Linked DNA regions of Lonchura striata. The protein of the gene in region 4 interacts with the protein of the main gene of each other region in a pairwise test. Links are inferred from orthologs where the notes say so. Each region holds a gene or a part of one and is shown on either strand. Other genes may lie near its edges.

Region 1 (8,260 bases), on a different chromosome or scaffold from region 4:
GTGATGACCACGCTGATGTCCAAGCATGGGGACAAACACAGAAGGAGAAATCCGACTGAAATCCTTGTCCTGAGCTGCTCAGAGTGTGCAGGCTGACACTGAACAGAGAAGAGTAAAACACAAAAGCAGAGTGAAGGTCCTGGCAAATATACTGGCTGGCCATCAAGGAAAGAAAAACTGTGAGGTAAATACTGGCATAAACAGGAAGGTGCAAGACACTATGCAGAAAAAAGGTGAAGACAAGGGAGTGTAGAAGGATTGTAAAGTGCCAAGGCATGGGCGCACTCCAGGTCAGAAACTGACATGTCTGAGGCAGATCTAATTGTGGTTTTATTATAATTAAGTGTTGTGGGAATTAACAAGGCTTTCTAAAACTGTCTGGAATGAGTGAGTATCACACAAAACCCAGAGTTTTTTCAGGGTGAAAACAAGTACCAAGACACCAGAATTTTTAACACACAGGAATCCCCATTTTGAGGGTTTACCCAGAAGAGCTTGGCTAAGTTGTGTTAGGCTTCAGGAATAAACAACTTCTCCCCTTCTCCCTCGCTCCTCTTCCCTCAATGCCCTGAAAAAAAACCACAACAACTTTGACTGCCATCAGGACAGAGAGAATTTTATATTAAACTATTGCCCTGGGCCACTCAGCTGAATTAAGTCAAAGGGACTGCTGGCAGGCTTAAAATAGGCATGTGTTTAAGAGCTTTCCTGGCTTTGTTGCTGCAGTGGAGGAAAAAAAAAAAAAAAGCTGCAGATGCATAAATTTGAAATTGAAAATATCAATATCTCCAAGACACAAAGTATAATTAGAATTAGTAATTAATTCTGATCTACATTGCCTTGCACTAAGCTTAAATGAGAGCAAAGTGAGAGAGATACCAGAGACTCTTTTTTCCCTTCCTGTTGCTTTGTATTGCTCTGAAAACAGGTCCAGTAATCACAAGCAAGGGACAGATGAGATTCTTTGCTGTGTGGAGGGGTGCACCGTAGCAAAGACAGTAAAAAATACCTATATCACAGCACCAAGGGGCTGACACAGCGAGGATGACACAGGAGCAGTGCAAGAATCCCTAGATAAGCGTTCTTATTACCACTTTGGTGGTTTTCAGCAATTTGATTTTGTGACAAGCCTTCCTGCACTGTGTCACAAATAATTTCCCTCCCTTTCAGACTGTGGGTCTAAGCAGCAGCAGCAACATTTCTTCCTGCCAGCTTCCATAAGGAGAGCAGGACACCCTCCTGGCAGCAGAAATCTGCCGTGACCACTTTTGTGACGCTCTCAGGTACTTTTCCTTGGTCTATAATCTGTTTTATTTTAATGGAAGGATGCCCACAATGGCTCTTCTGGGCCTGCTCCAACTAGCTGGAGTCATCTTTAGGGTAATATTTTCATCTGATCAATGGTGGTGTGAGGATGAATCCATTCAGAAACAGCTCCCCCTTAAAATTTCTATCAAGAGACCCTACAGGAATGCAAAGAACACACTAGACAGATGTGTTTCCAAATGTTTTCAAAGGTAGGTGAAGTTTCTGCTACTACAGAAACCAAACACATCTCTTTGCATCTGCTGCAGAGAACAAGAAAATATACAAATTCAAAGAGAAAGTGGCTCTGCCAACACAAGAGCCACAACAACCACAGCTACCCTGATGTGTTTTAATAGGCATTATTTGCAAAACCATATTTTGATAGATCAAAATAGCTCCCAGCCTAATTACAGCCATTTAAAATGGAAGATATTACTCACTCTTTCAGAGCTCAAGCCTGGGAGCCACCAGGCAGTGTCTCAAACGTGCTTGAAGCCCTGCTGTGGATGGAGCCTGTCCATGGGGGCAAGTGGAGACCTCACAGAAGTCGTGGGCTTGATGTAGAATTTATTTGTGAATCCTGTGTGGCCTGTGATAAGCAAGAGATCAGAGAAGGCATTAGAAAAAGTCCCTTCTGACTGGGAAATCTGACTGGGAAATCTGGAAATCTGTGTCTTCCCAGGTGAGTCTGATACCTCACTCACAAGCACCCCACACCTGGAAGTTTCTGAGCAGACACTGCACACCCCAAGATGCCACCACAATAATAATTACTGCAGAAAGGCTGCAATTTGCCTCATCAGCCTCACAAACAGCAGCAGACTAAGCCATTGGCAATGAATTAAAAGATCAATGACATGTTAAACCCCAAGGAACACACGTGCAATTAGCAAATGTATTTAAAGCAGCCACAAACACACAAGTTTCTGTCTGACAGCACTCTGCACCTCATCCCACTCCCTTTACAAGCCAAGGGGGCTGTGGGAGGGTTACCTACCGAGTTCCACTTGGCAAAGCACATTTCCAACACCCTGCTCTGGTCCAAAGCCCACGGACATGAGTCACCATCAGTGAGAGTTTTCCTACTTATTCCAATGGACCTTGGCTGGCCTGTAAACATCCTTGCCAAAACAGTCAATCTCTAATAGGCAAACACGCTCTGCTTTCACTGGTTTGAAGACTTGGGAATGGTTGGATTGCCCTGTGCAGTCCAAAGTTGAGACACTACTTGGTAAACATGCTGCATGCACCATCAGCAGCCCCAGAGGGGGCAACACAGGGTTAAATGCAAGTTTAAACAATTGATTTGCTTTGAAAGTTAAACTCCTCTGACACGGGCAGGTACATTACTGAGTAGTTTCACAACTCCTCATATCTGCAAAGAGCCCTGTGATAACCCGGCAATTAAAAGGAAAAAGAATTTAAAGAAAATAAAAGGAAAAAAAAAAAAAAAAAAAAAAGATTTGGAATTTCTAGGCTAAATCCCAGAAATGGCTACAGTTTGTCACAGCCTCTGGAATGGAAGGAAACTGTATTTCTTTCCTCCCCGGCTCCGAAGTCCCGAAGGTAATTCTGCCTGAGAGCCGCCAGCCCGATCGCTTCACGCTGGGCATTATTACTCCTCAAATGGTTTTGCTTCGTTTTTTTATTCTAATGAAAGAGTAAAAACCAAACCTCAGCCGAACTACTGGAAAACGTTGATGACGATGACAATAACACAAGCAATAAGAGGAATAACAAGAAGAAAGAAGCAGCAATTTACCTCCAGCCCAGAAACGCGACAGCCACGCATTTTAATTCCCGGGGAGCGACAGGGAACTCACCTCCTCCACCCGGACCCTCAGCTGTCCTTCCAAAAATACGGATGAAGCTGCCAAACCCACGGGAGAGAGCCAGGAGCTGCAGCCTCCGGCTCGGCTGTCGCTACAGGACCTCGCTCCATCAACCCCTCCTCCTCTTCCTCCTCCTCCTCCTCCTCCTCCTCCCCCGGCGGTACCCGCGGAGCAGCAGCGACACAAAGGAGCGCCCGGGGAGCGACAGCTCCTTGCCAGCCTGGAATCAAGGAATTTCATCCTTTTCTTGTGACACGGGAGTTAAAAACCTCAGCAGAGCCACAGCGCGAGAGGGAAGGAGCTTTCCCAGAGCTGCTGCGGGGCTGAGGTCGGTGAAGGCGCCGGAGTTGCTGAGACTCAGTTGAAGCTGCATCAAAAACGACAGCCCCAAGTTCCAAAAGACAAACCCCTAGGCTGATATTTTATCTTGCCCAGCCACAGTTCTCCATTTCACTGCCTCTGTCACGCTTGCTTTGTTCGGAAGTAAAGTACTGTTGCAGGGCTGAGATGGTGTTTCCTAAAATTGTTGTGTTCCCTGAATACAGCTGCCCTGTTAAAGCAGCAAGATGTACTAAAATTTTACTAGAAGGCAAATCGCAGGGGCAGGGAGGAGCTGCCCTTGGTTTGCTTTCCTTCCAATGAAGCACAAGAAAAATGCCCACCTATATTTGCACCTGCATGTTCACCCCCAGCAGCACAGCTGCACTTCCAGGTGGGCATGGAAACAGCACACAGGTGATACCTGTGTGTATTAAAATAAAAAGAGAGAGCCTGGCAGGCCCAAGTCACTCAGCACACCTTAGCAGGAGGCAGGTAAGGTAAATTAAGCAGGAATTTATGTGTTCCATGCAGTGGGGACATCAATGAAGTTGCTTGGATCCCAGCCTTGCAAACAGATCTGCAGCTTCAGCTCCTGGCACCTTGGAGATCTTGTAGCAATGGATGTCTCACCTGCTGGAGAAGAAGCCTGAATTGGTGTGTGGTGTATAAATCAAACCTGTGTGTATCAATGTGGTTTGATTCACCATGCTTTTCTCCACTGAATGGAGAGATATGTGCCACCTTTTGGAAGCAGATGTCCAGGGAATGTTCAGGGAATGTCATAGTAAGGAAAACAATCCAACTGAAAACAAAACAAAAATCAAAATCTAAAACCAAAACAACAAAAAACCAGAACACTTAAAAATAAAAATAAAAATAAACCAGGGACCCAGGAAGGGGAGAAAGGAAGGGAAAGGATTGGACTGACTCATGATTACATGGCCCAAGTCTCATTTCTTTTTGTGGCAGGCTAAAACTACCTGCCCTGTAGCAAGACCCTGAATTTTGCACACCCTGACCTCATGTCTAGGTACATGCCAGTAATCCATGTCACAACATTGCTCTTTAGCCTTCTCCCCAGGAGAAGGGAGTGGATGTAGTTTTGTCTCATTTCACTGAGATTTGGGTATGACTGGGAGGGATTTAGTTTTTATCCTCGTGATCAGCCATATGTGCCCCAGAAGGCAGCACTGAGGGAAAATGAGGAAGGTCTGCCTTCAGTCCCTGTAGTTCATTTCATGGACAAGACAGCTGGGAGTATTCCTGCAGGAACTCATTTTACCCTTTGGATAACCTGGTCATATGTAATTTATCTCTGGAAGATCCAGACCAAGAATCAGAATTTGATCTGAAATGCTACAAGAGGTGAGGATAGAGGACAAAGAATGGTTTTGTTTCTCTTCCCATGTTTTTTTTGGTTTTGGTTTTTTTTTTTTTTTTTTTTTTTTTTTTTTTTTTGCCAAAGCAGCTCAAGCCATTATTCAGATGGAGGTCCCTAACTGGAAACTGTTCTGTTCTCACAGTTCCAGTCATAGTTTTCAAAAACTTAGGTTTGGGTCTATGAGGCAAAGCAGTTTCACAAGAATGGGATGGAGCCTTCTTGCCAGCAGGTCATGATGGAAAAGAAGAGAGATGTTATTGATAGACTATAAAGCAAAACTGCTTGGAAAGTGATATTGCCACTGAAATAAAACAAACGAACAAACACCCCCCCCCCCCCAAAAAAAAAAAAAAACACCACCAAAAAAAAGTGATCTTGTAAACACTTGCACATGGGGCTTTGTTTAGTTCCACGTGTAGTTAATCCAGATGGCTATGTGATTACAGCTGAATCTGAGATTATGTACCACAGGCCAGTTTGGACAGGAAGACACTGTGACTGGAGTGCTGTGCCTAAAAGAAATGAGACATTTTCTTCCATGTCTCGTGTACAATTTAAAGACACAAAGAAAGAGAGAAGCAGAACACAGAAGAAAGTAAGCCCAGTGGGTATCTGTTTTTTGTAGTTAGTGGAAGAAGATGGGACATTGTCTATGTGCTTTTTAATTGGCCAGAAATAGGAAGTAAATCCATTTTGTATTCATTCTCATTTTACTACAGAAATAGTGCATTACAAACTTTTGCACTCCTGCCAATATTCACTGTCAAAAAAGTAAATTGCCAGTTTTCATAAAGTTGCATATTGCTCCATAAATATATATTCAGCAGGCGCATATACCTTCTCATTTTAATATCTGTGTTATACTTCAACACATTTGATTAGAGAGATGCATGTGCTGGGAGTCTGATGCATTTCTTACATTCAAGAAGGGAAATAAACCCCTCAAATTTATATAGGATGCATCCTTTCTTGCATTTGGAAAATGAAGGTGAGGCTGTGTCACCAACACTCCATACTGACACATTCCCACCTCCTGTCCCTGTGTCCAAACTGATGAGAAGAAGGTTTCCACTCTCTTAAAAGTGCAGAACAGTAAAGCCACTGGAAGGTTTTCAGCAGCACAGCCCTAATGGAAAAGCACAATCTCACTCACAAAAGCAACAAAATGGACAAAAATTAAGGAAATCCTGTTATCATTCACTTTACAAAATAAGTGGGGGAAAAAGTATGTGGCAGTGGCTACAGAGGAAAATATCCAGTCTGACAGAAAAAGGAACAAGGGATTAATCAGCTCTAAAATTATTAAGAAGTTTGGTTTTAGCTTCCTTTTTCTCCTTGCCAAAACAGACCTTACTAAAATAAAACAAAGGCAAAAACCTCCCTGAGAGTTCTGCCAGTCTCTGCCAGTTATGTATTTTCGGAAATGGGGCAAGTCCACATGACCTCTGTTGTCCCTATCTTTGAGATAATGCTGTTACACTTTAGAAGAGCACTTGAGCTATGGTTGACAAGTGCTCTATGCAGTTCTCTTATCACAAAACCTCAGTAAGGAAAAAACCTGGGCCCTCTGAAACCATCTCAAATCATAGAAGAAAGGCAACTGGCACTTGCTGATAGAGAGATAATTCAGATCTTTTATTTAACAGTAACCCGTGGAACAGTTAGAACTTTGACTGTAGCTTTATGAACTGCAGAAAGCATAGAAATGTTTGTCTCTGTTCTTCTGCTAATGGTGATGAAAAACATTGTGGATCCATGATCTGGCTGATCTTACCTCAAGTTCTCTGCTAAAAAAATGGCACAGGTCTCCCTCCTGGGAATTCTTGGATAGTTTCAGAACCTGAGTGGAGTAAAGCTGCTAAGCTGGAAGTTTTAATTTCTGATTCCCTCCTCCCCAGAAATTTTTCATATTGGGGTATACATCAAAACTAGATTGCAAATTATTTGTCAAATGCTAAAGACACTGCAGGACAAGGCATGAAGGAGCAGTCCATTTTCACCACAGCAGATCAGCTGACTTATTAAACCATTCTCCAAAACTTAAGACTTGTCTTTCTTGAAGCCTGCTTTATTTCAGTTTGGTGTTCCAGCCAGGCATTGCATCTGAATTCTTCCCTCTGTGAAGGCACATCTGTCAAGTGAGCCTGCTTAAATTCCTAGTAAGGAGAAAAGAGTGAGTATCACCATGATAAGAACAATGAAAATGCAGCAGGTAGGGATTAGTTTCTGTGTTAAAGAATCTATTAAATACATCAAAAATACCAGCATCTTTCTCCAGTCTGTTACAGATTATTTAAGCTGAAATGGTTGTCTTTTCCTGAATCTGTCATTCTCTTCTTCCTGAAAATATGTTTAACTTGGGCATTCTGTCTCCTTCACAGGCCTGCATTGCCTATGTAACTAATGTAACTAATCTAACTGCAGCAATCCTTGAAAAAAATGGCATTTTTGTCTCATGATAAACGGATTTGCAGCTGTGTGGAAGACAGAACTGAAATGTGAAAAATAAACTGTTCAGCGTTAGGTGTTAGCAATAACTGTATCAAATTGTGATGATGACAATTCCACTGAGAGTGTGTGGTCTTTAATCAAGTGTCCTTCTAATTTAACAGTAAATGCTCTATTTTCTATTTTGAATTATCATTTAGGATAGGCTCCTAGACTTCTTCAAGGAATTCTACACATCTACAGTCTAATCTACGTCTACATGTGCTAATCATCTTTTAAACACTGATCCTGGCTGGATGCCACACACCCACAAAAGTCAAGTCCCTTCACCAGCTGGGCAGAGGAGGGAAAATACAATAAAAGGCTCGTGGGTTGAGATGAGAACACAGAGAGATCAGTCACTGATCACTGTCACAGGCAGCAGAGACTTAGGGAAATTAGTTTATTACCAATCAAATCACAGTAGGATAAAGACAAAGGAAACTAAACCTTTAACACTCCTTTATCCCACCCTTCCCTTCTTCCAAGGCTTAACTTCGCTCTCAATTTTCTCTTCCTCCTTCCCCTCAGGGAGATGGAGAATGGAGTTTGCAGTCATTTTATTAAACATTCTCTCCTTCTTCCTTCCTCATCATTGAGGATGTGGCCAGAGGATCCATCCTGGAGCTGCCTGGCTCAGCTGGACACAGGGGAAGCTTCCAGCAGCTTCTCAGAGAAACCACCCCCCACTACCCAAACCTGGCCATGCCAACCCCATACTAACAGAGTTTACTTTATCTGCTGTTATGGAGCAGCTTTTATTCTGTCAGTGAACACACCAGCCCACGAGAGCAGCAAATGAGCAGCACAGAAAAGGCAGCCCCTGGTGCAGCTGGGCTGGGTGGTTAACACAAAGCAGAACACAAGTCACTCCAGTTTTTCAGACTCATATGTCCTAAGAAATTTAAGGTCACATAACGAATATGGGGTT
Region 2 (7,471 bases), on a different chromosome or scaffold from region 4:
CACCCCAAAACACCCATGGGCACCCCAAAACATGCATGGACACCCCAAAACAGCCACGGGCACCCCAAAAAACCAATGGGCACCAACCCCAAAACACCCATGGGCACCCCAAAACAGCCACGGGCACCCCAAAACACCAATGGGCACCCCAAAACACCCATGGGCACCCCAAAACACCCATGGGCACCAACCCCAAAACACCCATGGGCACCCCAAAACACCCATGGGCACCCCAAAACACCCATGGGCACCAACCCCAAAACACCCATGGGCACCCCAAAACAGCCACGGACACCCCAAAACACGCATGGACACCCCAAAACAGCCACGGACACCCCAATACACCCATGGGCACCCCAAAACACCCATGGGCACCCCAAAACAGCCACGGACACCCCAAAACAGCCACGGACACCCCAAAACAACCATGGGCACCCCAAAACAGCCACGGACACCCCAAAACACCGGGGCTGGGCACATCCCCAGGGACCAGACCCTGCTGGCACCGTCACCCAACTCCTGGTGGGGCCCCCACACCCCGACACCCTCGACACCGCGGGGACACCCCAAAAGTGCCAGGCTGGGCACCTTGAACCCCAGAGACTGGGCACAGACCCCCTAAACACCCGGGGACACCCCAAATCGTCAGGGGATGGAGATGGACCCCCAAAACCTCCTGAGCCTGGGCCCCACCTGCACCATCACCTGGCGGCCCCACTGCACCCCGACATCCCTGACAGCATGAACGGCCCTGGGGGACCCCAAAACTGCCAGGGACTGGGCACGGGACCCCAAAACTGCCAGGGACTGGGCACAGGACCCCCAAAACTGCCGGGGACTGGGCATGGGACCCCAAAAGTGCCAGGGACTGGGCACAGGACCCCCAAAACTGCCAGGGACTGGGCACGGGACCCCAAAACTGCCGGGGACTGGGCATGGGACCCCAAAAGTGCCAGAGACTGGGCACAGGACCCCCAAAACTGCCGGGGACTGGGCACGGGACCCCAAAACTGCCGGGGACTGGGCATGGGACCCCAAAAGTGCCAGGGACTGGGCACGGGACCCCAAAACTGCCGGGGACTGGGCATGGGACCCAAAAACTGCCAGGGATTGGGGATTGGACCCCAAAACCGCCAGGGACTGGGCATGGGACCCCCAAAACCCCCAGGGACTGGGCACGGGACCCCCAAAACCCCCAGGGACTGGGCATGGGACCCCAAAACCCCCAGGGACTGGACCCCACTGGCACCATCACCTGGTGGCCCCCACACACCCCAACATTCTTGACAGGACAAACCCAGGGGGGACACCCCAAAACCATCAAGGGCTGGCCATGGGGCACTTTGAACCCCAAAATCTGGGCATGGGACCTTCAGAGCCTGGGTACAGAGCCCCAGAATCCTGTGAGACCGGATATGGACCCCAAAAAACTCCCAGAGTCTGAGCATAGGACCCCAAAACTTCTGACACTGGGCATGGACCCTCCCAAACCCCTCTGAGACTGGATATCGACCCCAAAAAAGTCCCAGAGATTGAGCACGGACCCCCAAAACTTCTGACACTGAGGATGGATCCCCCCAAACCCCTCTGAGACTGGGCACGGGCCCCCCAAAACCCCTCTGAGCCAGGGCATGCACCCCCAAACCTGAGTTTGGGCATGGACCCCCAAAATCCTCTGGCACTGGGCACTTCAAGACCCCAGAGCCTGGGGACTGCGGGTCACCCCAAAACCCAGCGAAATCTGAAGGTGAACCCCCCCAAAACCCTGCCAGGCTGCCTGAGCCCGGGCATGGCACCCAGGGGGGCTCCTGAGGGGTCCCAGAGCCCCCTGCCCCCCTGGGGACGCTCACCCCCCCAAGGTGCCACCTCAAGGGTCAAACCTGTCCCCGTGCCCCGAATCTGGGACACCCCGGGGGTGTCACCACACCGTCACCCCCAAGGGTGGGGCCAGGGCTGGGGGTCCCCAGCACCCCTGAACCCGGGGGGGGGTCCCACGGGTGAAGGTGCTCCAAGGGGGTCCCACAGCCCGGGGGGAGGGGGTCCCCAGGGCACGGGGGGGAGGGGGTCACAGGCCGGGGGTCCCCAGAGCGGGGGGTCCCCACACCCACCTGGTGAGCCCATGGGGGACAGGAGCCGAGGCGATCAGCAGAGCCACGAGCCCGGGGCTGGGGGGACACGGGGGGACACGGGGGGTCTCAGATGGGCCCCTCCACCCCCAGACCCAATTGGGGGGGCTCCTCAACCCCTCTGGACCCCCCCCGCACGGCACCCTACAAAAACAACAGCACCACCACCCCCCGTGTCCCCAGGGGACCCCACAGCACCCAGAGGACCCCACAGCACCCAGGGGACCCCGCGGAACCCAGGAGACCCCCGTGACACCCAGGGGACCCCGCGGCACCCAGGGGACCCCCGTGACACCCAGGGGACCCCACGGCACCCAGGGGACCCGGCAGCACCCAGGGGACCCCGCGGCACCCCCAGCCCCCACCAGCCCTTCGGGGGGGCAGCGGCTCCGGGGGTCCCCGGCCCCCCCAGACCCGTTTTCCCCTCGCTGCGAGGTGGGGCCCGCGGACCGGGGGGGATGAACGCGCCGCGGCCCCCGGTGCCCCCCGGTCCCCCCGGTGCCCCCCGGTGACCCCCGGTGACCCCCGGTGACCCCCATCCCCCCGAGGGCTCCACGGGGGACGCGGGGGGGGATGGGCCCGGAATGGGGGGGACAGGCCTGGGGGAGCTGGGGGGTCCCGATGAGGCCCGGGGGGGGCACGGCAGGCCCGGGGGTCCCGGGGGGGGCACGGCAGGCCCGGGGGTCCCGGGGCAGGCCCGGGGGTCCCGGGGGGGGCACGGCAGGCCCGGGGGTCCCGGGGCGGACGGGCGGGCCCGGCGGTGACAGGTCGGGCCCGGGGGTCCCGCGGAGGCCGGGGCAGGCCCGGGGAAGGTCCGGATGAGACCCGAGGGGGAGCCGGTGAGTCCCGATAGGGCCCGGGGGGGTTCGGGGGTCCCGGTAAGGCCCGAGGGGATCGGGCAGGCCCGGGGAGGGGCCCGGGGGTCGCTGCGGTGCAGGCAGGCCCGGGGCGGGGGCGCGGGCAGGGCGAATGGCGGGGCCGAGCCGGGGCGGGGGCGCGGCGGGGAGGCCGGGGGGAGCCGGGGGGAGCCGGGGGGAGCCGGGGTGCCGCTGTCCCGGGTCCCGGTCCCGGTCCCGCACCCACCGGGCCCGGGCGGGCGCAGCATGGCGGGCGCGTCCGGCGGCTCACGTGACCGCGCGGGGCGGGGCCGCCATGGCAACGGGGGGCGGAGCGTTACCATGGCAACGGGGGCGGGGCCGCCATGGCAACGGGGCGGAGAGGGACCGCCATGGCAACCGAGGCGGGGCGTCGTCATGGCAACGGGGGCGGAGCCGCCATTGCAACGGGGGAGCGTCGCCATGGCAACGGGGGCGGGGCCGCCATTGCAACGGGGGCGGAGCATCACCATGGCAACGGGGGCGGGGCGACGCGTCTGGGGGCGTGGCCAGAGCGGCGGGGGCGTGGCCTGCAGCCGGGAACTGGGGGTCCCCGGGAAAGGGGGAGCCGGGGTTGGGGGGCGCAGGGAGAAAGGAAAGGGGGAGCAGGGGTTGGGGGGCGCAGGGAGAGAGGAAAGGGGGAGCAGGGGTTGGGGGGCGCAGGGAGAAAGGAAAGGGGGAGCCGGGGTTGGGGGGCGCAGGGAGAGAGGAAAGGGGGAGCCGGGGTTGGGGGCGCAGGGGGCTCCGAGGGGCACAGGGAACCGGGCAGACGCGGGGCCGGTTCAATAATTTATTTCTCGGTACAGAGCACGGGAAGGAGCCCCACAAACGGGGTTGGGGGGGGACACGACACGCGACACTCCCACAAATGGGGGGCGGGGGTCCCGTCCCGCCCCCCCCGGGGGTCCCACCAGGCCGGGGTCCTCCCCTCCCCTGCCCCCCGGGAGCTGCAAAAAGGGGGGGAGCTGTGGAGCCCCCCAGGTCCCACGCGGAGGGGGGCAGGGAGCGTCCCCCAGCCTCCCTGGGAAGAGGGGTGGGGGCTGCACCCCACCCGGGCAGCCATGACCGGGGGGTCCCTTTCACCCCCCCATGGGGCAAGTAGTGTTTGACCCCCCCCCCAGCTTTGGGAGGGGTCCCAGAGCCCCTTGTGCGGGGGGGGCACCCCAGAGCCCCCCGGGACCCCCGCACACAGAGTTAAGGCACTTGAGCAGTGAAGCCCCACTGGGGGGGGGCAGGGCGTGCCGTGGGGTTTTGGGGTTTTGGTCCCGCGGGAGGGGCCCCTGGGCCCCCTCAGGCGAAGATGTTGGTGATGAAGTCGAGGAAGCGCTTGGCGTACTGCTCGGGGTGCACCGTGGAGATCTCGGCCCCGGCCTGGGGGGCAGCGCTCAGAGCCCACCCGGGAACGACCCCCGGCCCCTCCCGGCACCCCCACAGCACCCCTCCCCAAAACTGCCCCTCCCGGCACCCCCACAGCACCCCTCCCCAAAACTGCCCCTCCCGGCACCCCCACAGCACCCCTCCCCAAACCCTGGGAACGACCCCCGGCCCCTCCCGGCACCCCCACAGCACCCCTCCCCAAAACTGTAACGACCCCCAGCCCCTCCTGGCACCCCCACAACACCCCTCCCCAAACCCCGTAACGACCCCCGGCCCCTCCTGGCACCCCCACAACACCCCTCCCCAAACCCTGGGAACGACCCCCGGCCCCTCCCGGCACCCCCACAGCACCCCTCCCCAAAACGGGAATGACCCCCGGCCCCTCCTGGCACCCCCACAACACCCCTCCCCAAACCCCGTAACAACCCCCGGCCCCTCCTGGCACCCCCACAACACCCCCGCCCCAAGCTCCCCACAGCCCAGACCCTGCCGGGGCTTTACCCCGCCCAAAGCCTCCCCTGAAGGCTTGACCCGTGTCCCCCCAGCCCTTCCCTCTCCCCACCTCCCCAAAAAACCAAGGGGGAGCCAGCCCTGCCCCCCCCAGGTGGGAAATGCCACCCCCCAGTTCAGGGTGCCCTGCCCCTAGTTGGGAAGTGCCCTCCCTCCCATTTTGGGGTGCCCGCTCCCCAGCTTGGAGATGCCTGCACCCCAGTCTGGAAGTGCTGCCCCCCTGTTCAGTGTGCCCTCTCCCCAGTTTAGAATTCCCCCCGCACTTCGGGGTGCCCTCCCCCAGTTCAGAATGTCCCCCCCAGTTCAGAATATCCCTCCCCATTTCGGGGTGCCTCCCCCCCAGTTCAGGGTGCCCTCCCCAGCTCAGGGTGCCCTCCCCCACTTCAGGGTGCCCTCCCCCCAGTTCAGGGTGCCCTCCCCATTTCGGGGTGCCCTCCCCAGCTCAGGGTGCCCTCCCCATTTCGGGGTGCCTCCCCCCCAGTTCAGGGTGCCGTCCCCCATTTCAGGGTGCCCTCCCCAGCTCAGGGTGCCCTCCCCCCAGTTCAGGGTGCCCTCCCCATTTAGGGGTGCCCTCCCCAGCTCAGGGTGCCCTCCCCCATTTCGGGGTGCCCCCTCACCCCGTGTTTGACGGTCTTGGCCGCGTGCGCCGCCTTCTTGCGGGCGTCGTACTGGGTGAGGACGTCGATGAGCCCCATGAAATAAACCTCGCGCCGGGGGGCTCCTGGGGGCACGGCCGGGGGGCTCAGCGCTCCCGGCACCCCAAAACCCCCCGGCACCCCCCGAGCCCCCGGCTCACCCTCGGCCCCGCGCAGGGCGTACACGTCCACGCCGGGGTCGAACTCGCCGGGCCCCAGGGGCCGGTAGGAGTTGAGGAGCCCCCCGAGACCCTCCGGGGAGGTGCCGTAGGGGCCCCCCAGCCCCCCGTCATCGCCCCCGCCCCCGGGCTCCTCTTCCTCCAGCTCCTCCTCCTCCTCCTGCTCGCCCCGGCCCACCTCGTGGATGCCCAGGAGCAGGCTGTAGTCCATCAGCTTCTGCTGCACCAGGAACTGAGGGGACACGGCAGCCATGGGGGAGGCCACCCCAAAACCCCCGGGGGGCTTCACCCCAAAGCCCCCAGGGCCTGGAGGCTGAGAAAGGGACCCCCACAGCTGTCAAGTACTGGACACGGTCCCCAAAAACCCCCTGGAATCTCAGGGCTGGGGGGACAACCAGGGGGTCATTAGGGGTGGGGGACACTCATGGCTGCAGGGAGAGCCCCCAAAAACCCTAAGAGCCTGGGAACAGGGGAGCCTCACCCCAAAAACCCGCAGAGCTGGGGCACAGGGGAGCCTCACCCCAAAAACCCCCAGAGCCCGGGCACAGGGGAGCCTCACCCCAAAAACCCCCAGAGCCTGGGAACAGGGGAGCCTCACCCCAAAAACCCCCAGAGCCTGGGGAACAGGGGAGCCTCACCCCAAAAACCCTCAGAGCCTGGGAACAGGGGAGCCCCACCCCAAAAACCCGCAGAGCCTGGGGAACAGGGGAGCCTCACCCCAAAAACCCGCAGAGCTGGGGCACAGGGGAGCCTCACCCCAAAAACCCTCAGAGCCGGGGCACAGGGGAGCCTCACCCCAAAAACCCTCAGAGCCGGGGCACAGGGGAGCCTCACCCAAAAAAACCCTCAGAGCTGAGGCACAGGGGAGCCTCACCCCAAAAACCCCCAGAGCCCGGGGAACAGGGGAGCCTCACCCCAAAAACCCCCAGAGCCTGGGGAACAGGGGAGCCTCACCCCAAAAACCCGCAGAGCTGGGGCACAGGGGAGCCTCCCCCAAAAACCCTCAGAGCCCGGCACAGGGGAGCCTCACCCCAAAAACCCTCAGAGCCTGGGAACAGGGGAGCCTCCCCCAAAAACCCGCAGAGCTGGGGCACAGGGGAGCCTCCCCCAAAAACCCTCAGAGCCCGGCACAGGGGAGCCTCACCCCAAAAACCCTCAGAGCCGGGGCACAGGGGAGCCTCACCCCAAAAACCCTCAGAGCCGGGGCACTGGGAGGCCAACCAAGGCTCACTTGGGGTGCAGAGACAGCCCCCCCCAATCCCCTCAGACCCCTGGGGCTGCAGCCCCCCCGTCCCCACCTCCACGTCCCTCTTGAGCTTGTCCATGAACTCGCGCTGCTGCTCCTCCTCCACGAACACCTTCTCGTTCTTGTTGAGGAAATCCACGTCCTTCAGCGTGGGCAGCTCCTTGCCCTGGGGAGGGACAGCGGGGGGACACCCCCGAGCTGGAGGGGACCCCCCAGAGCCGCGGGACCCCCCCCAGGCTGCGTCCCTGGGGGTCGCAGCCCCTGCGGAGGGAATCCGGCCCTTGGGGGGCAGCCAGTGAGCTGTCCTCAGCGGGGAGGAGGGAAGAGGGAGCCCAGAGCCCCCTCCCCAAATCCGGGGGTCACGGCGTCCTCCCGCAGTACCTTCTCCTTGTCACTGGCCTCTCGGTCCACCAGGGAGCCCTGCGAGGAGGGAGCAGAGGTGACCGGAGGGGTTTTGGGGGGAGGCCGCCCCAGAAGAGGATCAGAGGGGCTCGGGGGCGCCCCGATACCTTCAGGTCGTACT
Region 3 (7,627 bases), on a different chromosome or scaffold from region 4:
CATTTCCCTCTAATACACTTAAGAGCTCCCATTTGAAGCACACATATAAAAATCCCCTGGTACAATTTTAGTGTTGTTCAGACTCAGATAATAAATCATTACTGGTTTATTTCAAAAGAAATTAATAGAAATTTCTGCACAAATTTAAGGCTAGTGACACAGCTAAGGAACTTGCCTGCCTGACAGGAGTTTAAGCAAAAGGTTGCCAGCATCTTTAACATTATGTCTCTGGACTAGATCCAACAGGCCTCTCACATTATACTTTTTCTAGAAAGTGTTGCATGCGGATCAATAGTCTCCTTGAAAATTCTCTCACCCTAATACAGATGCCTACCAGATTACCAAATATTTTTCATTTATCTAAATCACAACTTTTTTACTGTTGTGTTAGGCAATCTCTTCTTCTACAAAGAGAACCTATAGCAAAAACAGGCTCCTGCCAGAGGATGGTAACATAGTGCATTAGATCAATCTGAATCACTAAGGCACAGGCCAACTGCTAAGGGCAGACAAATCTGTCATCTTGCAAAACATCTGGTGGCAAAACACCTCACTATCCCTTCAGGTATGACGGGTTTTCAAGAGTCTAGGACAGAGTAAACCTGTCCATTCTCTCCTATAGAAAGATGGGGGTGGTACCAAGCAGAATCAAAAAAAAAAAAAAACTTTAGAATTTCAAAGGCTGCAGAAAAGCTACATAAACAGTCATACAATACATTGGAAGGTCAGGGACAGCAGTCATACAATACACTGGGACACCAGACTTCTCCACTTCTGCTATGACATCTCTCACTGTCAAGGGGGAAGGCTGAAAACAAAGGGCATAGAGAGTCACTAGCATGAAAATAAACTGCTCAAATGTGTGTTGGTGGCAGGAATGCATAGGAGTGGATTTAGAGGTACAATGGGAATTAGAAGGAATGGAAGACCAGGTCACATGTCATGTCACGGCCACAAAGGTCTCAATCACAGGAGAATTCTTCTTGTGCACATTACACTGAAGCATTACATAAGACACAGCAACATTACCATGTAGCTCTTCTCTTTCATGTAAAACATATTATGACAGACAGCACTTAGACCTCAGAAGAGACATTAAGGAACACTTAAACACACACTACATAATTGAAATATTAACAAGATTTACATATGCAGACTGAAACAGCAGGATACTGTGTTAAAATCTCCTACACTGCAAGCTGACTTAAGTATTTGTTCCACTGGGATTCAGGTAAGAAACCGGAAGAAATTGACTAGCAATGCTTTCCTTGCTAAACAGACGTGTACGATTTTGACATTTGTAGCTTGCAGTACAATCAGACTACAAATGAATGAGTAATGTCGACATTCCTAAAAGTATTTAAAAAACCCCACAGGAATGCATTTCCACTGTATCCCTGCATTGGTTTCTCTGTAACTCAGCGACGAAGAGCGTCACGGGGAAGGTGTCTGAGCAGGGCAGCTACGTTTTCAGTCCCGTATCCAGGCGCTGGAGGCGGATCCCCGCCGCGGACTCCCCCGAGCGCGGTTCCAGCCCTTGGGGCCGGCTGTGCTGCTGCCGTTGAAGGGGCCCGCCCGCCGCTCTTATCGCCCGAGGGGCTGCAGGCGTGCGTGGCGCAGATACACCGCGGAGCCAGGGAGCGCCCCTTCACCCCCGTGCCCCACCGGCGGGCCGAGCACCGTTACAGAATTTGCCCCGGGACCCCCGGGCTTTGGTCGCCTCCGGGCCCGCCCGCGCCGCCCGGCGGGGGAGGAGCCGCCGGTGAGCCGGTGCGTTCCCCGCCGCCCGAGCAGCGCGGAGCGGGGGAGGCGCGGCCGCCGGCGCCTCAAGTTGGCGGAGCGCCGGCGGGGGACGGGCAGACCCTTCCCGCCCACGAGGAACGCGCACACTCACCCGCCGAGCCTCCGGCGACGACTTGGTGAGAGGCCTCCTGCAGAAAGCCCCGGGGCTGCCGAGCCATCCTCACCCGCGCCGCGGCGGCGACGAGAGGGAGCAGGCGCCGGGAGAGCGGCCGCGAGCCGGGCCGAGTGCGCGCTGGGCGGCTGGGGAAGAGCCTGAGGGGCCGCGGTTATCTGCGGGCGGGAGGGGGAGCCGGGGGCGGGGGCGCCGGGCTGCGGCCCCGCGGCGGCCTTTGGCAGCCGGCCCCGGGCAGAGGGCGGCCCCGGGCGCTGCGCGGGCTCGCAGCTACGGGCCACCGCTTCCAGCCGGAAAGCGGCAGCCTCTCTCTCTCTCTCGGGGCACAGCCGGGACGGCCGGCGCTGCGACCGTCCAGGCTGGGGCGGGGAGCGAGGCTGTGGCACTGTCAGCTGCCGTCCCCTGCTCAGGCTGGGGCCGTACACTCCCGCTTCGGGGCTGGTGCTATACAGCGCGCATCCTGCTCCCCATCGCTGCTGGGACCCAGCTAACACCCCAAATCCTCTGCTCCTCAGCTTCTAGGAAGGGTCGCTGGTGCCGCTGGGATCACAGGCTGTCTTTTTGAAGACTGCTGTCCTTCTAAAACCTTTAGTCTAAAGGACGCGGGTATTTTGTCGCTTGGAGAGTAACTATTACATGTATTACAGGGACCTGTGGACCCATCTTAGTAAAAAAAACGGTGACAGGGCATGGGCTGGAAGTGGTGGGACATAGCGCCATTGCCGACAGCCTCCAGCAGTGCTTTCGGCAAGGCCAATTTCTGCTTTTCCAGAAGATGCCCGAGTACAACGTGGGGGACAGCATGGGCTCATCCCAGAGGTAGCACCATTTAAGGGCAAGACAGTTAATAGGGCTGTTCTGATACATTAGTTTGCTGGGTGCCTGTTTGTGATAGTTTAGCCACAAATGTTGCTAACTGACTAGAGGTTCCAGCTTTGAAAGGAAATGTAGCTTTTTGTAACGTAGAACAAAGATTAGAAGAAAACAACGGGTTTATTGCTACTGAAAAGGACGGGAACGTAGGAAATGTACAGAGAAGTGTTAATAAAATGCTGAAAGACTGAGACCCTAATTGTAAAAAGGAATAATAGTCAGGTATAGCATTCAGTTATATCACTTGAATGCATCAGCAAATAAACAATAACATGGAGTTTTGATCTATATAGGAGCTGAGTGTGGATTGCTGTGAGAATACAGAATAACTCCCTTAAATTAATAAAACTTGAATGTGCCGACCTTTAAGTAATTAAAATCTCAACTTCAAAGTTTCATTAGCATTTGCCTTAGTTCCCTTGGTTTGGCTCCTTGATAATGCTGCTCAATAAATACTTCTGGATGATCAAGTCTCCAGTGTTCCCTATCATCAAGAAGCAGATGCTGAAGCATTACCACTTTTTTGTTCCAGAGATGTAACTCTCCTTGTGCAATGCTCTCTTGGGTACAAATAGCAATTCTAGTATTAAGGTGGACTTTGCTACAGTATTTCGACAGCAGAGAGAATTTGGAGTTCATCAGAGTGCAGAAACTGGTCAGATAGATTTGTTTTCTGCATGTGTGTTTTCTGCATCAAAGAGAACAGCAGTCAGAATGCATGTAAGTTACATGGATGTTCACACAGTAGCATAACACCTGCTCCTTTAAAGAAAACAAACAACCTCTGCTATTGTTAGAAAACCATTAAGGTCGTTTCACGGTATTCAAACTCCAAATCTATGCCCCCTAATTCAATTCCCCAACTGAAAGTCTCTTTGGCATATCTCCCTTATTTTCCATCCACCCCTCCCTCCTCCCCCACAAAGGGCAACCTCCCCACTATGCAGGTTTCCTAAAGCACTTCTAGGCTCAGTCCTATTTCCATATGGCCTCATCCGAAACCAGTACATGAGCGCCACTCCATTCTTGTCCTCGATATCCCTGGCAAGGTCTGTCTCTCCATTTGTCCTTACTGCGTCCCTTGGTAGGGAATTCCGTCCATCCCGGGCAGCACCCCTGCGCTAACACCCGAGAAGGAAACCGCAGCTGCCCGAGCGGGGGCAGGACGAGGAGAAGAGACCCAAGAGCAGCGCCGCGCCCGCCGGCCCCGCCGCGCCGCCTCTCCCTCCCGCAGGGCGGCGCCCCCGCGCCCCGGCCCCGCCCCCGGCCGCGGCCCCGCCGCTGCGCGCTCCCGAGGGCGGCGGGCGCGCGCGCCCCGGCCCCGCCCGCCCGCGGCTTTGTTGCGGAGGCGGCGGCGGGGCCGGAGCGCGCAGGTAACGGGGCGGCGGGGCCGGGTCGGGGCCGCCCCGCGGCGCTCGGGCTGGGACTCGCCCCATCCTCTGCCACGGGCTCGGCGGCGCGTCCCGGCGAGACGGCGTTAGGTCGGGCCGCTCTGCCCCCAGCGCCTCCCCGCGGGCGAGCGGCCCTGTCCGGCCTCCTCCGGCCCCGGGAGCGAGCCGCCGGGCCCTTGCGCCGCTGACCGGCTGCATGTGCCGTGGCAGCCCCTTGGCTAGGTTAATGTTACCTCCCGCGGCCGCCGGGCGACCCGGCTGGCCCGACTTTCCGCCCGCTCCGCAGCTGAAGACAGGGGGAAGCAAGTTTGCCGTGCGGGGATGCGGGGCTTGGAGTCCCAGAGGCGGCGGCTTTGCGGGAAGGGAGGGGGCGGACTGGCTGCCGCCTCTGGGAGGGGGACAGCGCTGAGAAACGGACCGGGACAGTCCGAGATGAAACCTGCCCCGAGCAAATTCAGGAGGTCGGTTCTGGATCTTTAGTGTCAGATGAGAACAAAGTGTGCAAGATGCTCTTCATTGTACTAATGCTTTATAAAAAAAAAAAAAAAAAAAGAGGAAAAAACTGCACCAAAAGACCTTGCCAAAATAAAGTTTGTGCTTTTTTTGAATATTTATAACTTAAAGCTTCTTAGGAAATCCCAATGAACTGTATACCTCAGCTCCTCTTGTAATTCCTGCTAATCAGAATTCTTGATGATGATGTGAGGATCTGTTTCTTCTGAGGAAAAAGGCTATGGTTTCTCAGTGTGAAGAATTTGGGAGAAAAATATTCAATAAATGTACCCAAAGGACTGTTCTACCTGAGACAGCACACCTTCTGATGTTTGATGTTTGTCCGTGGAAAAACTACAGCTGGGTCTAAGTACAACTTCAGGGGCTTGAGGTGATTGGAGCTGGGTTGCTGTAAGAGTTTATTTGGGAATTCAGAGTGTAGTATTAGGACAAAAGCACTGTAGTTGCTTTTGAATATTCTAGAAAGTTCTAACTCCACTTAGAACAGTCTTAAATTGCAGTGTTTTAGCAGTGGAAGAAAAATCAGTTAACCACAGCAATGTGCTTTCTGGCTCAGAAGATCTCGGAGGTTCTAGGATCTGTGGATTTTAGGGAAGTGCAATGATGCTCTTGCCTTGTTCTTGTACCTGTCCTTGAGCATCTGTACTTGGCCAGTTCTGCTTTGGGAATGTACAACTCTGGTTTAACTCGAAACCACTTGTTTTAGATTTTGTTTATTTAAATATGTTATGGGGACTAGCTTATAAATCTCATAAGGTTTAACGAGAGTTAAAACTGTCATGCCAGTTAAACATGCTGCTTATGTGGTAGTTCTGTTTTATTTTGGTGTTTAGTACCCAGAATGTTGTAATTCGTGACAAGGTTCTTCAGCTGTGTGAGATAGAGCTATGTACACCAGTGAGGTGCCATCAATTTGATGGCTGTGAGCTCTTCTGTTCTGTCACTGGTAAAGGGATTAGCACTGCTTTCAGGATTTTGAAAGTGATAAACTTGTCTTGCCTGTCCAGCTAAGTTACTGCACTTCTGGTTGCAGTATGAAAAGTGAAGAGATGGACTGGGACATGAAATACATATGGGATTTAAGAAGACAGGAGCAGTTGCTGCTACTTTCTCTAGGTATTTTAGGTTTTCTTGCAATGGTACTGCAAGTTCCTTACAGTTTGCAATGGTGACTACTGCCCAATAGTAGTGGGTAACAAATTAAATTTCAAAAATCTCTTCCCTAGTTTTCACATGATAAATAATTATATTTCTTGCCTTTTTGATTGTTTGCTTGCTTTGTTTCTGGATTTACTTAATTTCTCTTTTAGTCATTAGTTTACCTGTTTGGGATAAGGAAATGTTACTTTTCTTCACATCCTGTTAATCTATCTCCCTGCTTGTTAGAAGTCATTCTAGATGCTGCTAAATTAGAAATGCATTATAATGGTATTAAACTTTTTCCCTGACCAGTAAGAAGCAAAACAATGTTTTATTTCATGCTTAGTATTTCTCTTGTAGCAAGACAAATCCAACACATTGTATTACTGGCAGAAATAGTATGATGCTGATGCCACATGACCCACGTTTGCTTTTTGAAGTTTGTGGGGGTTTTAGTTTCGGAGAGCACCTAGGTTAGTAAAAAAGTAAGGGAGTTTTCAGATCTTGCTAGAAGCGGTTAGGGGAGAAGGGAAAATACATGTTCAATAGTTCTCTAGGGAAATAATCAACAAATTATTCATTAGAATTTAAAGCAAGAAGATACACATGATCCGAGGATGAAGGGAAAGAGCATCCTGCCTATACATCACAGATTTGTGTAAATTTAGTTGCGAACCTGAGAGATATCCTAATGGATCTTTATGCTACCTACTTTTTAGTCTGCCAAACATAGGGCAGAACAGATGCTGTGTGTTCATAGCAGTGAAATGCCATAGTGCACTTTTAAGCTATGAATTAGTGATCTGATGCTTACTTTAGTGCAGATCACCAAAATAAATGCAGAAGCTTCTTGTCACTTTTACTCTGTTACCCTATGTGGGCAATTGATGTTTTGAAACTTACCTTTGAAACAAACAAGCAACCCTTCTGGGCTGACGACTATTGACAGATTTAACTACAAGCTAATGTTGCAACTGACAGGTATTCCTGTATGACTGCTGCCTTTTTCCTTTTCCTTTGAAAGAAAGATGGTTTTGAAGAAGTAAGAAAACTGGAGTATTGAACCTTTTTTTGCAGAACAGCTACAGCTATGGAAAGAAACAGTGTGACTGCTCAGTTGTTAAGATGATTCTCTGCTGCTTTCAGCCACCAGTTTTTTAAGTGACAGGATGCTTGGCATGCTCCCCGCTAGTTTTGCGAGGAAGCTCCCCGCTTGCTTCTTAACAGCAGGCTACTGCTTTTCATGATGATTCTTGATGTGAACCTTTGTCCTTTAGGGACAGGTTAAAATGCAAACTGACAGTTTCTGTGGAGTGGTGGCCTTTGGTATAGTAAAGAATATTATATATTAGAATTTTGAAAATAGTTTATACGTATATTGGCTTTATGTGGCAAGGTTCTTTAGCAGGGGATCTACAGAGGATCTTCTGTGAGAAGCTGCTAGAAGCTTCCCTCATGTCTGACAGAGCCAATGCCAGCCAGCTTCAAGATAGATCCACTGCTGGCCAAGGCCAGCCCTGTGAGCAGCAGTGGCAGCACCTCTGGGATAACAGAGTGAAGAAAGGGGTAAGGACTGGGAATTCACTTGCGGCTGGAGAGGGGAGTTAGAATGCGTGAGAGAAAAAACTCTGCATACCCCAAGGTCAGTGACGAAGGACAGGGAGGAGGTGCTCCAGCCACCACAGAAGAGATTCCCCTGCAGCCTGTTGTGCACGCCATGGTGAGGCAGCTGTGCCCCTGCAGCCCAGAGAAGATGCCACACTGGAGCAGGTGTCTGTGCCCAAAGGAGGCTGTG
Region 4 (7,236 bases):
GAAAGTGGAACATCTGATCCCTTGCCTACACATAATTAACCAGTAAAGTTACTACCTAGACTTAAAAATTTCATCTTTGTTATGGATGCACAATACTTCGCCTACCTTAGAACTGCAGAAGCTTTCTCCACACACAAAAGATCATACTTTAGAGAGCACTCCTAACAACCCCTAAAACTAACTTTAGTTAGTTTTATCTATTTAATTCAACTATTTAAGAGATGTAAAGTTACAGATATCTCTTAAATAAACAATACCATACTTCTTAACGTAATGTCATGTATATAACAAGACTACAAATAATACAGCAAGCAGTACAAAAGCACTTTTCTCTTCCTCAAGAGTGAAAAGACTTTAAATACTTTTGAAAAACACTATAAGTCCCAGATTCAACTTAGAACTATGGAAGATCCTTCATCTCTTTCCTGTAAACCAGAGAGCATATTTCATATTTTAGTTATTTCCCAGAAATTACATTCAAGGAAAAAGGAAGTACTAAGTAATATGAAAAGTATATTTAGTCCTGTGTAGCAAGGATTCATAGATCCTTATCCATAGCAAGGATAAACACACTTTACAGAATTCTTTCTTCATTTGGATTTAGCACGTCCAACACGTACTTCAAATGCAGAAGGAATTAACTGATCCAGCTGCTCCCTTTTAAAAACATTTCTAGTTCCATCATCCATTTCAGCATAAAAGTGAGTAGTGGAAAAAGACAGAGAACAAACTTCCTATGTGCTTTTCTCCCTGTGTGCCTACCCCCTTCCAAGGCATTTATGCTCCTGTTATATCTACAAGGAAAAGGTGGGGTGTGTGTGTGGGGGGGTGCCCTTCAAGTAGTTCGAAGCATTAAATAAGGAATAATTTAAGAACAGATAATGTGAGCCACTTTGCTTTCAGAGAGGGACTTATTAACCTCCAAAAAACAAACTTAGCATTGCCATTCATTAAAAATATTTCTTTTTGAAGAAACCAGGTTTAATAATAATTTTAGTAAGAAAACTTTTTTTTGTTTGTTTGTCATTTGTAGTATTTAGTTGGATCTTTTTTCATCATCCCACTCCACATGTTTTCACACCCAATGATAAGGACATCATAGTTTGACTGCCCTGGAATGTATAAACATTCACAAAAAAAAACTTTGCCTGCAACTTTGATAACCACTGAGTAATGCTGAAATTTTGCATTAAAGACATGGGAGTTAGTATTGTCTGTAAACAGCAATTTTATACATACTAATATATCATGACACTTATGTAGTTTGCCAATGGCAGAAGAAAAATAAATGTCAAGAGTCTGCTGTACTATGATTTTGAAATTCCATTAATTGAATTTTATAAGAATTATGACCTTTTTCTGGCTAGCTTCAGGCAGCTCAAAGGCTATCTTATAATAATATCCATTTCCAAAATTCTGTACTGAAATCCTGCAGACTAAACAAACAGAAATAAACAAAAATGTGCACACTGGATCCAACCTTTACAGTAAGAAAATTTACCATTCACCTCCCCTAAAACCTACTTAAATTAAGGTTTTTTTTTTCTTTTTTTGTTTTCTACATAAAGCAAAGGGAAATGGTTTTGAAGCATTTAGAAAGCATTTCCAAATTTCCAAATAGACTTTTTTTGTTTCCACAGTATCAGCTGGTTATACGGGGTATGAGGTCTACATTCTCTAACATTGGTATAAAGGTATCCACCTAGAAATTTCTCTTGGTCTCCATGCAGTTCTGTATTTGCTGTGCAATGGCTTGGCAAAATCAGCCTGGGCTCTAAAGGCAGCTGTAAAACAAGGCCCTTACATTTTTCTAGGGGCTAGCTCAAGATGTATAGCAACAATGTTGTTAGCACACAATTTAAAAGTACATTAACTACTGCTACCCTAAACGTGCTTTCCTTAAGCCATTAACACCTTTCAAAAACTATTCTCTCAATTTTTTCTCTGTGAATACGTCCAGATTTCTGGAACACCACCTTTAAGATTTACATATTCACATTAATATTTCACAAAGATCTAACCTGCAACATCATCCCAAGTAGGACGACAATGACGACACAACTATTAAAACCTATCTGGCTGACGTCCACCAACTCAGACACAGACACAGCAAAAGCTGTATTGATGCAACCCTGCAAATACTGCTATATATTCACCCAAACTGATCAGAACTTCTTTACTGCTGCCCTGAAAGTAGTCAGCCTCTCTTACTGACTACCACATACCTCTGAACATACTGATCAGGAAACGAGGTAACATGACTGAAATGAGTGAGGCTTTAAAAGCATCCATCTAAAGGTGAGTAAGCCTGCAGTGGGATAAAGGAAGTTCTGTATACAGGGAAGCTAAATGGGGGTTTAATAGCAACCGCTAAAAAACCCCAAACATTAAACCCGTACCCTGCAGCCTCTGGCACTGGCGAGCCAAAGGGGTCAGCCGAAGGGGATGTGTGGGATCACGCACCCCACCTCGCCCTCCGCAGTCCGCTTCACGCATCCCTCCCGGAGCCGCGCGGCCGGACGCGGGAGGGCGCGTGCCGGGGGTCCCCGGGGGTCCCCGCGGGGCCGGGCCGGCCCCACCCGCACCGCCCCGTGGCCTCCGGCCTGGCGGCGCTCCCGAGCACCGACCGCCGGCAGCCCTCGCCGGGTGCCGGCCCGCCCAGCCTCTTCGGGCCCTGCCGCCGCGCTTCCTGCGGCCCCCTCCTCCTCCTCACAGCGGCTGGCGGCCCCCGTCTCCCCAGGAATCGCCATTCCCCTCCCAGATGCCGTGGGACGGGCCCACCTCCGGCACGGGGAGGTGGGGCCGAGGGGGGTGCGGGGTCCCCGCGAAGGCCGGCGGGGCGCCTGCACCGTCCACTGCTGCCCACGCTCACACGGGGGAGGGTGGTGGTGGTGGTGGCGGCGGCGCGCAGGGGGAGGGGGGAGAGGCTCTGACCTCTTCGCTCTTCAGCACCTCCTTGAACTCCCGCTTGATCCTCTGCACCGCGATGTTGGCCATCTCCGCAGCGGGCACCCCTCGCCCCCTCCGCGCCGGGCCCAGCGAGCTCCACCGCCGCTCCGCTGGAGAACTCCCGGCCCTACCAAAATGGCGCCCGCGCCGAGCATGCGCGAAAGGGCTGCCGCCGCTCCTCAGGAGGGGCCGCGGGAGTGCGGCCGGAGCGGCACCTGGGCGGTGGGGGGGCTGGGGGGGCCGTGGCTGGAGGCTGCCGGTGGGGCGGCTGCGGCGGGTGGGCTTTGGGCCGCCTCCTCCCCGCTGACCACGAAGGAAGGGTGCGCTGCCCACCTGTGGAGGCGGAGGGGTTCGCCCACCGGCCGCCCACCCGCCCGTCCCGGGAGATGCCTGCCCGAGCCGCTCGCCCCGTCGCGGGCCGGGCGGGCCCGTGGCGAGAGCGTGAGGCGGCACCCCTCATGCAGAGCCCCGCCGCGGGCGGGCCCCGGGGCGCAGCTGGGACCGTTGTGTCGTCATGGCTCCCGCCCGGCCCTGCACCGGCAGCGGGCGAGCCCTGAGGCGCCGGGCCGCGAACGGCGGAAGGAGCAGCCTGGGAGGGCTGGACCGGGCCGGCGGCAGCGGGAGGAACGTCTGAGGTGTCGCTGAGGAAACAGCTGGCTCAAGGAGCAGCTGCTATGTCTGCTGGTGAAGCCCCCGAGCAAAAAGAACTAGAGGGCTCTCACGTAACTTGAGAATCTGCTCACCCGGGCCCGTAACAGCGGTTCTCAACTATTTTTTTCCCCATTATGCTCGGCAGAGAAAAATGTTATTCCTTACACGTCTCTCCCAGACCTGCTCCTCGTCCTCTTCCCCCCTCCCCCTGGAGACACTGGTGCCTCCTCACACGGGACCAGGAGAACTTGCAGGCCCAGAAACAGGTTACATAATGGGGACAGTGAAAGGAACTGCTTCTTTTCACAGATTCTGCTACAGTGTTTTAAAAGTAGATTAAAAAGCAAAGGTCAGTCCTGTCTAATGAACATTTTATTGCAGAAGCAAACATGAGCACCCACAGATGCTGCTTCTGTTCTGAATTCTGAACTAGGGAAACAGTAACCATAACTTCTAACCTGAGGTATAGAAAATAAGGCATGTTATCGAAGAGCATAGATTTTCAGAGAACATTAGATTAGATTTTGACTGTTGTTTATTCGGGAACTAGAGGCTTTCAAGACATTAAGGTTTACAGGAACATTTTATCGGGCCCCCTTTTAACAGTGCAGTGCAGGACAACATACAACACAGACATTCATCTCAACAAATGTTGACTTCTGGTAGGGGCGTTATCTGCAAATGCTGTTCATTCCTCCATTAGTATACACAGCATTTTGACTATTATATACACTATAAAGAAAATACAAGCAACAAAAAAAAAAAAAAAAAAAAAAAATTAAAATCTGTCAACTATATACAGATGGATATAGTCCTTTTAATGTGTTTACTCTTCCCATCTAGTTTGACTCAAAAAATTCATTTTTCTGCGAAAACGTTGTACCATTTGCATCTGTTCATCAATTTTTTTTTCAGATGAAAACTTTAAAATGTATTATACAATCAAATTTTTCAGCTGAGGTTTTCAATACCTTTATGAAAAGGACCATTTTGCATTAGGCCTGGTTTCTTTTTAATGACTTAGTAGTGTGATTTTGGTCCTTCATTTACAGAATAATTTAGACATCTGAGTTCCACTGATATGTCTTAAATTCCTTCTGAGGAGGTAGGCCATGGCTTTTCTGTGCCCTTGACTGTCACCAATAAAGAAAGGATGATAAGTCTTTTTTGCCTCTTAGATGAAAGTTAGGTTTGTAGTGTGCTGAGCAACTACGACTACTATAGCCAAAAATAATAAAGGTAGTACATAAAAACTCCTGGTTAAATCCTTCATGTCTTTTCAGACAACTCACAGAAAGAAGCTAAGCTTCCAATATTCAGATTTTGCTCTGAATGGAGTAGAAAGCATGACCTTTATTAAGTGTCAAAATCTTTTGTGTTCCTGTGAGTATGCTTTTATGTTATAGGTAGTGAACATCCAGTAACAGCCATGGTAAAGGGCAATGATTTTGTCTGGTTTGTACCTAGGTTCATTTTCATGTGCTCATTTGGATTACAAATGTCAGAGTCTGTTACTGCAAAAAATAAATTAATATGAATTACTGTATCTCTTTTCTTTGGTATACCCTATTCCTTTCCCTTGTCCTTAAGCAGGCATTTTTCACTTATCTCAAAACTGTTTCATATTCACCATAATACTGTGTTAATTTTCTCTTTGCTGAAAGACAGATATAGAAAGGGTTTTTTGTCTGGTAAAACAGAGTAGTAGTGAGTCTTGCCAGGATCAAAATCTACATAAAAATCAGTACCTTACATAATTAACTTGCTGGGAGTATCATTTTATGTCTCCTATACTGTTTTATACTTTATTATAATTTACTATTTTACAGAAGATTCTACAGGGTTTTAGTGTAGAACAGGACCATAGACTTTGAATAGGTGTTTTGGGCTTTGGTTTAGTTTTTTGGGGGAAGTTGGGCTTGTTTGTTGTTTTATTTTTGATTTGTTTAAAAAGATAATGTTTAGACAAAAATTTAGAATGTGGCCTCTTTGTGTGATTTCAGGGACTTCCATGTCTGACTCCCTAATATATTTCCATTTAGGGAGTCAGACATGGAAGTCCCTGAAATATATTTGTATATATTTGTGTGTTGATAACATAGCCCTGAATTAAGTTCTCATTAGTCTTTTGCCCTTGGAAAAATCCATACACTATATGTACAACTGTAGTCCATTGAACATAGCTCATTTTTTGAATTAAAAATGTTTGTAGTATATATGATTTCAAGAGATAGTTCTTTCATTGATCCTATCATCATTTTAGTCTCATACTGAACAACTCTTTCAATAGCAGCTTTTACAAACTGGCTGCACATTGGTTTATGCTTTTGCCCGTTGGTGTTGAACACAACTAGTAGAGTGGGAGATACAATTCTGAGTATATATGCATTGTTTATCATGATTGGCATATTGTTTTGAAAGACTTCTGTAAGTGGGAGAAGGAGGTATAGTTGAAGTTCAAACTATGTAAGGTTATTGCAGGAGGAAAGTTGGTAGGGTCAGTGGTTGTAAGGCCTCAGCCCAAGCTCTCAATATGGAAAGGCTAACAATATTCATTAGCCAATGCTAAGATAACCAAACATCCTAAACACTGAGGCATTTCCCATGTAATGTGGGAAGTACTGTCTATCGTGCAACCTGTATATATGTACAAGTTATATATGTATATATGTAATGTATATATATGTACAGTTCCCCACATTTTCATGGAAAAGTGGCTATGGCTCATGCAAAGTTTGTGCACAATGGACTCGCTGTACATCCAATATAGCCCTGTGTGCATGGTTCTGCTCTCCCAGACTATGGATGCCCCCAGCACCAGTGTACTGCCTGGGGACTCCAAGATGCTTGTGACAGCACTAAGTGCTTTCTGTTCTTCAAGTTAAGATTCATGGTGATCTTTTTTCATTTCCATATTTTCCTAATTTTATTTTTGCATATCAATAGGATATTTTTTCATATCAATAGGAACTACTCAGAGAAAATTTGGAATTACTGAGATAGTCCCCTATGATTAGAGGAAAATTAAATTTTTGAAACATTAATTTTGCAGTATGCAGCATTCTATTTCTCTTTTACTGTTTTATGTCTTGCATAACAAAACTACCACATCTTCATCTTGGCTCCTTTAGTTTAGAAAAATCAAAAATGTCAGGCTTGATCTTCTCTCTTTGTTGCTGGAGGATTACTTATTGGGAGAGGAAAGCTGTCTCAAGAGATAGGTATATTGATTTCAATCCCTTTAGAAACAGGTTGAACCTGTAGCATTTTAAAGTCTTATTTTATTTATTTCACGAGATATCCATATAAGGATTAACTTTACAAGCTGTGTTACTACTAGTTTATATGCACTTTGCATTTAAATGTTTGTATGCTCATTTATAATGGTGCTTTATTTTTTTAAAAGGAAACAATATTCATATAACTAGGCTATTTTTAAATTTAACCTTCACTTTCCGTCGATGGTATGCTTACAGCTCTCTTTCTATGATCCCAGCTTTTAACAGAGAAATACAGTAATTGTCTTTTTTATCTGCATATCATTCAGCTCATTTCAGAGACTAAGAATAATTTTAGCCTGCACATTTATTGTCTGTCATATTGCGTTCCAGTTGTGGCAGTGTCTGGATGATTCAA

The links. The genes of interacting proteins can lie anywhere in the genome.
Region 1: the proteins of UBE2K (region 4) and MARCHF3 interact in binary tests that used the Homo sapiens proteins (3 or more experiments, as listed by UniProt). The link is inferred for Lonchura striata from reciprocal best matches to the Homo sapiens genes UBE2K and MARCHF3.
Region 2: the proteins of UBE2K (region 4) and DTX3 interact in binary tests that used the Homo sapiens proteins (3 or more experiments, as listed by UniProt). The link is inferred for Lonchura striata from reciprocal best matches to the Homo sapiens genes UBE2K and DTX3.
Region 3: the proteins of UBE2K (region 4) and MIPOL1 interact in binary tests that used the Homo sapiens proteins (3 or more experiments, as listed by UniProt). The two-hybrid records come from large-scale screens. The link is inferred for Lonchura striata from reciprocal best matches to the Homo sapiens genes UBE2K and MIPOL1.

What each region holds. Positions count from the first base shown.
Region 1 is NC_134642.1:83,596,990-83,605,249, forward strand, and holds the start of MARCHF3 (E3 ubiquitin-protein ligase MARCHF3), read right to left. Parts: upstream 3,256-8,260; 5' UTR 3,132-3,255; intron 1,898-3,131; 5' UTR 1,749-1,897; intron 1-1,748. UniProt on the Homo sapiens protein: E3 ubiquitin-protein ligase which may be involved in endosomal trafficking. E3 ubiquitin ligases accept ubiquitin from an E2 ubiquitin-conjugating enzyme in the form of a thioester and then directly transfer the ubiquitin to targeted substrates.
Region 2 is NC_134629.1:5,163,320-5,170,790, forward strand, and holds the start of DTX3 (putative E3 ubiquitin-protein ligase DTX3), read right to left. Parts: upstream 3,256-7,471; 5' UTR 3,210-3,255; intron 2,177-3,209; exon of another isoform or gene 2,166-2,176; 5' UTR 2,122-2,165; coding exon 2,109-2,121; intron 1-2,108. Other genes in the region: PIP4K2C (phosphatidylinositol 5-phosphate 4-kinase type-2 gamma), read right to left, coding at 4,292-4,372, 5,506-5,609, 5,685-5,934, 7,001-7,114, 7,330-7,368, 7,458-7,471. UniProt on the Homo sapiens protein: Regulator of Notch signaling, a signaling pathway involved in cell-cell communications that regulates a broad spectrum of cell-fate determinations.
Region 3 is NC_134608.1:24,430,377-24,438,003, reverse strand, and holds the start of MIPOL1 (mirror-image polydactyly gene 1 protein), read left to right. Parts: upstream 1-4,372; 5' UTR 4,373-4,500; coding exon 4,501-4,640; intron 4,641-7,627. Other genes in the region: SLC25A21 (mitochondrial 2-oxodicarboxylate carrier), read right to left, coding at 1,895-1,961.
Region 4 is NC_134606.1:22,965,792-22,973,027, reverse strand, and holds the start of UBE2K (ubiquitin-conjugating enzyme E2 K), read right to left. Parts: upstream 3,168-7,236; 5' UTR 2,998-3,167; coding exon 2,935-2,997; intron 1-2,934. UniProt on the Homo sapiens protein: Accepts ubiquitin from the E1 complex and catalyzes its covalent attachment to other proteins. In vitro, in the presence or in the absence of BRCA1-BARD1 E3 ubiquitin-protein ligase complex, catalyzes the synthesis of 'Lys-48'-linked polyubiquitin chains.